Linked DNA regions of Kluyveromyces lactis. The protein of the gene in region 3 interacts with the protein of the main gene of each other region in a pairwise test. Links are inferred from orthologs where the notes say so. Each region holds a gene or a part of one and is shown on either strand. Other genes may lie near its edges.

The links.
Region 1: the proteins of LSG1 (region 3) and REI1 interact in binary tests that used the Saccharomyces cerevisiae proteins (3 or more experiments, as listed by UniProt). The link is inferred for Kluyveromyces lactis from reciprocal best matches to the Saccharomyces cerevisiae genes LSG1 and REI1.
Region 2: the proteins of LSG1 (region 3) and YVH1 interact in binary tests that used the Saccharomyces cerevisiae proteins (3 or more experiments, as listed by UniProt). The link is inferred for Kluyveromyces lactis from reciprocal best matches to the Saccharomyces cerevisiae genes LSG1 and YVH1.

The regions. Positions count from the first base shown.
Region 1 is NC_006042.1:161,564-164,671, forward strand, and holds REI1 (Rei1p), read right to left. Parts: upstream 1,878-3,108; coding exon 663-1,877; downstream 1-662. Other genes in the region: mannose-ethanolamine phosphotransferase LAS21, read right to left, coding at 1-269; TSC10 (3-dehydrosphinganine reductase), read right to left, coding at 2,258-3,108. UniProt on the Saccharomyces cerevisiae protein: Pre-60S-associated factor involved in the cytoplasmic maturation of the 60S subunit. Involved in the dissociation and recycling of other late pre-60S factors like ARX1, TIF6 and ALB1 before newly synthesized large ribosomal subunits enter translation.
Region 2 is NC_006041.1:1,604,212-1,607,124, reverse strand, and holds YVH1 (tyrosine protein phosphatase YVH1), read right to left. Parts: upstream 1,691-2,913; coding exon 623-1,690; downstream 1-622. Other genes in the region: MND2 (Mnd2p), read left to right, coding at 1-530; RAM2 (bifunctional protein farnesyltransferase/protein geranylgeranyltransferase), read right to left, coding at 1,992-2,913. UniProt on the Saccharomyces cerevisiae protein: May be directly involved in signal transduction and/or cell cycle regulation. It is necessary for maintaining growth rate or spore germination. Could show both activity toward tyrosine-protein phosphate as well as with serine-protein phosphate.
Region 3 is NC_006042.1:641,284-645,103, forward strand, and holds LSG1 (ribosome biogenesis GTPase LSG1), read right to left. Parts: upstream 2,595-3,820; coding exon 648-2,594; downstream 1-647. Other genes in the region: RRT2 (diphthamide synthase), read left to right, coding at 2,757-3,820. UniProt on the Saccharomyces cerevisiae protein: GTPase required for the nuclear export of the 60S ribosomal subunit. Acts by mediating the release of NMD3 from the 60S ribosomal subunit after export into the cytoplasm.

The DNA.
Region 1 (3,108 bases), about 480 kb from region 3:
TAGCCCCAGGCCTCGCCTGAGTTCAATAGTCCATGTAAAAATTCGAAGTCTGAAGAATCTTTCTGGAACAAGAAATCACTCCGCAGAGCATCAATTACAACCAACACTAGTTTCTTGAACACGGGTTTAGAGGCCAGTTGTACCTCCGGATTCACAATGAATTTAGAATCATTCTTCAAAACAACCTTTTGCGGAAAGAATCCTCCACAGAAGAGAAATACAGCAACCAATTGCAAAGTGGCCAGCACATAGTATAATTTTCTACCCATGATGGATTCAGCTGTGTGATTCAATTCACCTTGTCACTACTAACCAGTTTGTTAGAACAACTCAACGCTATTCCCATCCAACGCTGAAATGTATTGATGTTTACGTTACGTCTTTAGAGATTTTTCATGTTGAGAGAGATGAAAGAAAGGTAATTGAAGGAATTTTAGAAGAACAGTAACAAAACAAACAAGTGAATGAATAGGTGTCCGATGTAGTGCGGAATAATCATATTTCATATATACATAGCAATAATAAAAGGAAATGACCGAATATTTAATACGGAGTATAGAGGTAGATTTGTTAAGGATAATGCAATGATCTATATATCTAAATACTAAAGTAAAACCGTAAACCCAAGTGCATATGCAAAAATGTTCTTCATCACAGTGAATCTACTGTAACAATTGGTCTCTGTAATGAGGTTGGTTATTAACGAACTTGGCAGCTCTTTTATCGTCTCTTTTCTTGTCTTTGACTTCTGTTTGCCAAGTAGTCTTTTGTACTTGTTGTTGTTGTCTATCGAAAATGGTAGCGAAGTGTCTGGTGTCTGCAGCAACGATAGTACCTTGGCCCTCACTAAGTTCACGCTCAGGTTTAAGATTTTGTCTGTAATACCGTTGTAAGGTTCTGTGACCAACCTTCACACCAGTAGGTAGATGTAATTCGACACCGTCGTTGTATAGTATATGTTCAGGTAATTCTTCTTCTTCTTCATCATCTTCCTTTTTATCATTCTCAATATCACCGTCGTCATCTTCATCAACATCCACCCACTGGGATTCATCCTCGTTGACGGCTTTATCTAACTCTTCATAGGTACTCGAAAAATCATAAAACTCTGATATTTCCAACTTTTCAGCTTCCGTTTCGTATGGAATACGGCAATGCTTTTTCGATAGCATATGAGCTCTGACCGCTTCTAAGGACCTACCTTGGTAAGAACAGCAGAAACACATATTACCCAAACCAATCTTTTCCGAAAAGTATTTGAAAAGACCACTTTTATCAACTAAATATTTCTGTTCTGGAATATAGAAACCATGGTCTCTGAACATATGATCCAAATTTTCTTCAAAAGTTTTATACTTCTTACCGGTAAATAGACACTCAGTTTCTGGAATTTCAACTCTGTTATGAAGCTTTTCAGCCATTAACTTCTCAGCAAGTTGATCGGGGGTCATTTCTTCTTCTGGAATCTCTTCTGCTTTGGATTTGGCAACTTCGTCCTTCTGTTCTGCTTCTACTTGCACCTCAGGATCATCTGATGCTTTATTAACAGGAGTACTATCTTGCATGTTCTTCAACATAGACTCCTTAGCGAGCTGCAATAGTTGCTGCTTCTTGGCTAGTAACTTCTCCTTTTCTAACCTACGCATCTCCTTCTTCGTCATCTGTTTAACTTTATCCTTCTTATGCTTGTTCTCTTCTTCTTCCTTCTCTACACGAGCATTAGCAACCTTTTCACTAAAAGTAGCTTCATCTATGGATGGCAAACCAGCGACTCTTCTCTTCAAATTGTATCTGTGCCAGTCCGACTTCATGTGCTCTCTTTGGCCAACCGCAGTGTCAAACACAACACCGCAAGTGTTACAAGTATATCCAGCCATATCTTTGTCCTTTACCTTAGTTCGTGTAGGTTTATTTCTCCCGCTCCGTCGATACTAAACAAAGCAAACTAATATTTAATAATGTTGCTCCAAGAAGTACAAAAATAACAAGGCTGTTAATTACTGTTTCTCATCACTAGCCACCTGAACCTATTCGATGAGATGAGATGAGATGAGCTTCTATAAAATTTTCAAACATTCACGCACTAAAAAAAAAAGAAAGATTCCGGCGATGACTATGGGTAAACTGTCCCCAATAGGACGCCAATGATGTAAATAAAGACTACTCGATTCGATCCACTGGCTTTGTTCTATGTGAGTCGTTTGGGAATATATTTCATACTTAGATATCTAGCTCTCTCAGGGTATATAGTAACACACTACTTAGTATCTTTATTCCTTTTCCATTGATAGATTTGGAATTTGCAAATCAACATGTAGATAGGCACGATGGTAATGTTCAACAAGGCACCTAGGATCCATGAAAACACGAACATGAATTGGCTGGTGCTATGTTTGTTTAAACCTTGATCGCACGCCATCAATAGCCAACCAATAGAATCTGTGGTAATATCATCAAGCCCCCATTTCAATGACGAGATGATCTTGTCACGACATTGGGCAGCGGTCACTGGATTACTGGGTCCCTCAATTTCTTTTGTAATTGCAGGTTTAGTTATATTTTCTAGATCAAAGCCCTCACTTTGGAAATTACCTGGGTACACACAGGTGATTCTTGTACTTGAATGTTCCTGTCTCAAGATTGCAACCAAAGATCTTATACTCTGTTTCAAAGGAGCATACTGAGCGTATCCAATGAAAGGAAAGAACGCTACCTCGGAGGAAAAGAACAGAAGATGGGGCACATCATGCTTTAAAGAAACATGGGCCAAATTCACGGCGGTGGAATAATTTGTTGTGATACCGTTTTGTAATTCTTCCGGTGTCAAATCTAAGAACAGTTTTGGGATTGACCCCCCAGCACACATGTACACCTGTGATGGAACCAATTCACTCTTGACCAGTAGCTTGAACATCAATGCTACTTTGTCGTATGATGACGTATCACAGCTGTGATATATCAATTTTGTTTCATTTCTATTGGTATCGTTGACATATCGGTCCAAAGAAACACCATCAACGCCAATTCTCTCACAAGCCTTTACCAGCTTGCTCTGAGACCTGGACACAATGATAACCTTATTAGTATTCGAACCTGGTCCATCATCGT
Region 2 (2,913 bases), on a different chromosome or scaffold from region 3:
TAGATAAATCGACACTATTGCTGATAAGATCTCTTGGCTACTCAAGTTTGCGACCTATTGGCATTGATAAAACCCTAAAAGAGATCGAAAAGGAGAAGGGAAGTAAACAGAACAAGCAACAAAATGAACACAATTCAGGGCAAGAACCAATACTTAATGCCTACCAAACTTCCTCTTCATTTATTGTGTCAAATCATAATCATCAACATACAGAACAATCGGTACTGCTGACAGCACAAGTTGGTGAACAATCTGAAGAAGAGTACGATCAAAGTTATGATTACGATAACGAGTATGCGGAAGTTCACGAACAAGGATCTATGCTCGACAGAACGAGAGGTACGTTTGTTGAGGATTCACAATTAATTGATACAAGTTATACCAACCGGTCAAGATCCAGGCATTCAAATGTGGATGCACTGCCATTTGTAAATGAAAATGAGGATTCGGTCCATGAACAGCCATCGTTGACCATATCTGATACTCTAGACTCCGGTGCTCAAGGTTCACGAGTATCTAGCCTCACCTAAATGCCTATTAAAGAAGAATGACATGTATTAAACAAATAAAATAAAAAATGCTAACCTTTATGAATGATATTTATGCGAGTACTGAGAGACCATTATTCTTCAAACGATACTAAATTAGGTAGGTCTTTCCTAGTTAATGCTATTTGTTCGACTTTAGCTGTTTGGATATGGATTGCCGGAATCATCCATTTACCACAACTGCATCTAGAACCTTTCCAATTGTAACCTCCGATCTTGCTATCACAGTTCGGACAGAAAAATTTACCTTCAAGCTCTTGCTTTTGTAATTCTTTCTTCATCCATTCCAAAGGCTCCACGAAATAGTGCGAACAACGGTCTTGTGATTGTTGAATATCAATAATTCTTCTAGATCCTGCGGCCCTCCTAATGAAATGACCTTCCATTGATTCCTTACTTGGAGGATCATGCTTAATGAAAGAAGTGGAAAATGCAAGTCTAAACCTACATTTTTTGCAACGGATCGCAGAAACATCTTCTACTTCCTCTTTCGATAACTTAGCTACCTTTTCAGCTTCAACTTCTTCAGACTTATACATTTCATTTTGAGCCATGATATTGGCTCCCAAGGGATCAGTTTTAATGGAATTCTGTAATTTCCATTGTTTATAGTCTTTATTCTCGACATCCACTATATTCGAACCCATGGCTTCATACAGCTTCAGTTGCTCCATAAAGTTCTCATTTGGTTCAGCTACGCTCCGTTTCCTCTTCACTGCATGTAAAGCTGTCTTCAAATTGAACCCGTATCTGTACATTAAATACGCTACTGCAAACGTAACAGATCTGGATACACCTGCTTGGCAGTGTATATATATGGCACCCTTTTGGGGCTTCTTTTTGAAATCAACCTTCACTCGGTCAAGCTCTATCTCATCGGGAAACAGGCATGAATCGATGTATCTATTCGTTTCATTGAAATACTGCAACACATCTGTACTCAAATTATCGTCAATAGGAATATTCTTCAAAGTATAACTCTTCCTGACCAAGTATTCTGGAATGATCTCAAATTTGATCACTGATAGGATGTGAGTGATCTGATAATTCACTTTCAGTGGAACATGGTTCGCAATTGGTTGAATACCACCAACATAGATCCCACCTAGTACTCTTGTAATATCAGATTCAGTATTCGCCATTGCAGATGATTGTAGCTGATTATTTATGAATACTTGCCGGTACTAATATCTCTCTCTGAGGCGATTCCCGTCCACTCATTAAACTTTACCTCGTCTCATCTCATCGCTTCTTCTTCTTTAATCTTTTTGGCCTTGGAACAATTTTTTTCCAGTCTAGTTGAGGGAAAGAAACGTGATTTGTGTCAGTGAAGGTAGAGATGATATGATACTTCTGTAGTACCGACGGGTAGGATAGCCAAGTGAGCTTGGATGTGGGAGCCCTTTGCGCGACAAGGCATCCTTGTATGTTAATAATACAATCCTATATAGTTAATTGTCTGATTTTTAAATTCCAGTAGTTTTTCCTTATAGGATCCCAAGTGTCTGCTAATGCCTGATATGCGATCTTGGACTTTTCCGAGTCTGTTTGAGAATATACATCAGCTAGGAGCTCCAATGCGAAAGAAGACTTAACATGGGAGATTGGTCTTTCTTCTTGGTCGGTATATGTCTCCAAGGCGTTATCTATGAAGGACGAAGCAAAATTAATCAACTTGGAATCGTATTCGTTATTCTTGAATGACTTATAAATAAAACGTAGATGGTTCCAGGGGCTTACGTTTTGTGGAGCCAACAATATCTTATCCATACAGTATTGAATTTCCACCTCTGCTACTCCTTCCTCTTGAACATGATCGACGTTCTTCAAATAAAAAGCTCTATGGGTCCAGGCGCTGTTGTTATACACGTCTCTATCGATGTACTTGTTCACAAAGTCGAGTTCATGGGACCAATCTTTGAAGAATTGGACGGACCATTTGCGGTACGACCATACATGGTAATTTTTTGTATCGTCATCGATCATCACGTCTAGTATAGGAAGGTCTCGCACTAATTTGGGGGATGGATGTTCTGAGAGTAGCGCTTGTCTGTACGACCAAATCTGGTAGTTTTTCGGGTTATTTAAGGTGAACTCATCGAGCCAATCCAATTCTTTCTCCCATGCGGATACATCTTCTTTCCGGAACAAGGACATGCAAATCTCGAATCTGTAGTTCCATGCGGTGTATAACGCTGGTACAGTCTCAATCACCGCGGCAGTTACTGCCATTGCTCTTTCAGATAATTCATTTTGTTGTAATAATGCAACGAATAATGATACGAGTTCCTTGTATTGGTCTGTGTATAGGATGGCACATAGTTCATTTTCCAATCCAGATTCGATTGGTATTCTCTTAACATCA
Region 3 (3,820 bases):
GTATCTACCGATGGTAAGTATAACATAAGGCTGAACTTGGTTAACTATTGCTAAATCTTATTGATATACAAATTCATACGACTCTCATAATATTTCAGAGGAAACTACTGAACCAATTAAATGGGTAATATTTCCGCCCACCTACTATCAAACTACAAACTGTAGGAATTCAGTTGTTGTTAGCGAAAAGGGCGTTAAATGGGAGTATCCCAGCTCTGGGCATCTTGAGCTTACTTCTACATGCGTGGAATAAGTCTGCGCCATGATAACCACAACGCGAACCATAATTGAACATGCCGAAATGTGTTTAAGAGCCCTTGTTTGCTGAGCTAGGAACCAAAAAGATAACCACAAATGACAAGAATACTTATCAACTGGACCATGTACTGAGGTCAAGTATAAAGTAAACCAACTTTAACCAAGTTTTGTATCCTTTTCTTTTGGTTCATCAAATTTTTCAGTAAACACCGGGTAATGCAGTGACAAGTTGCATGCTAACCATAGGTCTTATAACCGGAAGCAGGGCAGCTAAGGAAGATATAAAGGATATGCAGTTACATTTCCATAATGAATGGGGATAATAGACTGTGCAAACAGTGGATTTATATATATATAAGAGTTTAGGATGAATTTAGATAGTACTTACATTAATCGGAAAACATGGAAGCCTTTTTCTTACTCTTCTTGTTCTTCTTGTTATGCTTCTTACCATTTTCGTTGGCGACGGTTTGCTTATGGAAAGGGTTCGTAAGTCTGCCTTGAACACCGTTCAAATGGAAGAAATTTTTGTCAAGTTCATCAGCTACGTTGTACAAGGCTGCTTGTTTACCACCATGGTTGACAGATTTAGCTTGTACTTTATCACCATCACCACCAATATGAGCAGAGAACGTTAATCGACTTAAATCGCGAGCAAGATCCAAATCTTGTATACCTTTGTGTTTGGCAGCTTCTGCAAGTTGCTCTTGTCTGTTGATAGGTAATTTACTGAACGTGTATAAATCTTTGTTGAATTCCTTACATTCTTCTCTGGTATATGGCGTATCATCGTCCATGTGAGGCGGTGGATTAATGTACAGGAGTTTACCGTTCACATAATCTTTGAGAATGTAACGAGAGGCACGAGATTCATCTGCGGCACCAAAACCTTGTGTCATATAACCACGAGCTCTGGCATAAGCAACGAGTAATTCTTGTGCAGTTGGTACTTCACCATTCCCACCCTCTTCTACGGATTTGGTCTGAATATGGATACCGTAAATGGCTTCCAAAAAGTATTTAGGGACCCTTTCTGCCACTAATGTCGATGGCCCAATATAGTCACGTAACTGATCGATCGGTAGAACACCGTTACACACCAATTCACCTTTATTGTATGCAAAATTAGGGAAAACTAGACCTGGACAGTCGCATAACGTTACCTTATCAGATAACTTGATAGTTTGGAAATGTTTGGTCTTACCAGGGGTAGAAGAGACAGAAACTTTCTTGGCACCCACCAAGGCATTTATAGTGGAAGACTTACCAACGTTTGGATAACCCACTAGACCTATTTGTATGATTGGCTCTTGACCGGGCAATGGAGGAAGTAGCGGATCGTTTGGCGCTTTATCTAAGAACAATTCTTCAAGTTGATCGATCTTCAGTATGTTAATTTTATCCAGAATTTCTTTGTTCACTTCTTCCCCATCAAGTTCTTCAATTTCTTCCTCTGTAGCCAGTATTTCCTCATCGTCCTCTTCTTCAACGTATTCATCCCCTAGTTCCTCTTGTCTCTCTAATATTTCATTAGCCTTGGCAGCAGAAAAGAATGTAAAAGAGATGCCCCTCGAGAGAAGGTACTTGGCCCAAATAATACGTTGCTTTCTTGTTAATAAATCCGCTTTGTTGATCAAAAGTAAATTCTGTTTCCTGTCATCCACTTCTTTCACATATTTCTCTAAATCTGTGGATCTGAATAATAATGGATCTCTGGCATCCACGATTTGGACTACTAGATCACATCGCTCAACAACTCTCCACAACTGCCTCCAAACTTCAATGTTTCTCTCGAATGGAGTCAATAACAAATCCTCGTTGTCTTCTTGCAAATAGGCTAATTTACGTCTCCATTCCAAGAATGCTTCCTTTTCTAACCTTTCTAATTCAAATCTGGTCATAGATTCATTCCACTTAGGCCTTCTTGGGACAATCAACTCTCTAGCATGTAATCTCTGCTTCTCGTTGATCTTACTTTTCTGCTCATTGGTCAAACTAAATCCCTGGGATGTGGCTGCATCGGCACCGTTATCCATTCTGATGATCTTGACATTAGAATGTCTGTCCGCTGTGAAATCCTTGTCTGCTAACTCAGCAGTACTCAAAAATTCATCTAATGCAGATTCCTGAGTAACAGATCTCAATTTTACCCAATTAGCTTCGTGCTTATCGGTAGTGAAACGTTCTTCACCATCTGGCAAATACTGCACTTCATTTTCCTTACGTCTTGCAGTTTGAATTGCCTTACCTAACCCAATAGTGTTTTTATTCTTCCTTTGAATAGGCTTTGGACCCTTTGGAGGTTTCCACTTCTTTGTTGTTTCCTTTGGTGGCATGCTGCTAGTCCGTGTTGCTTGTAGACCTGCCGTTAACTGCTAAGATTGTTGTGCTGATGCTTTGCTTATGATGAGATGAGCTGGTTAACATATTAAAATTTTCCGCTAGTACGTAAAGTGTAAAAAAGAAATTGTGTGGTAAACCTGAACTAGAACAGATGGATGGCTCAACAATCTTTACAAAAGCACCCGCATGATGAGGATGCAGAGTACGACTCCAACATAGGTATTGCATACCACCTTAGAGGAGCGACAAAATTAGAAGTCAAGAGTTTCTGCAGAATGGAAGAAACTGCAGCTGATAAAAGGGTTACCACGCGTCTTCCTCCATGTTGCTTGTGTATTTTAAGAGAGAAATTTATCATTGTGGGTACCTATCTCTTGCATAAGGACTCAGGCAATCGAACTGGCTCTATTGAGGTTTATGATAAAGAATTGAACCTTCTTTCTAGCATAAAAACCTATGGGGCAATTTTAGATTTGAAGCTCAATCCATTCGATGATACTTTACTCGCAACAGCTCATTCAACCGGTAATATGATTCTGTGGACGATATCTGTCGACGATGATAATTCATCAATTGATATCAAACTATTGAACAACCTTCAAGTATTTGATCCCACATGTCTAATAACGTCTCTCCAGTTTTCTCCATTGCTGGATAATCTCGTACTTTTAACCACTACTAATGGGGATTTTGCTACTGTTGATATCATACATGGTGAAATATGCTTTATAGAGGAGGTGGAGCCATCGTATTTCGACTCCTCAACAATAAATTATATTGAGGTGCCAAATGCAGACATCAAAGTTATAAATGTTCAGAATGACCATGAACAAATCTTTCATTTCAAACATTCTTTGGAGTGCTGGACCGGCGAGTTCGGCTGTTTGGCTCCTTTGAAAGATGTTGTATTCACTGGTGGTGACGACTCTGCAATTGCAGCTCATGATTTGAATTCAGGCAAAAAGATCTGGTCCAATTCAAAAATTCATCAAGCTGGTGTTACGGCAATTAAGGCTGCTAGGGAGACATTTAGAGGCAACAAGCCAACAAGTTTAATCACAGGCTCTTATGATGACCATATACGATCCTTTGATCTAAGAATGCTCTCAGAAACCACAATATATCCAGGGACAGACGTCCCTGTGGTTAATAAATGGGAAGACAATTTACAGGGTGGTGTTTGGAGATTCTCGGAGGCCCCAACGAATGACGGACTGTC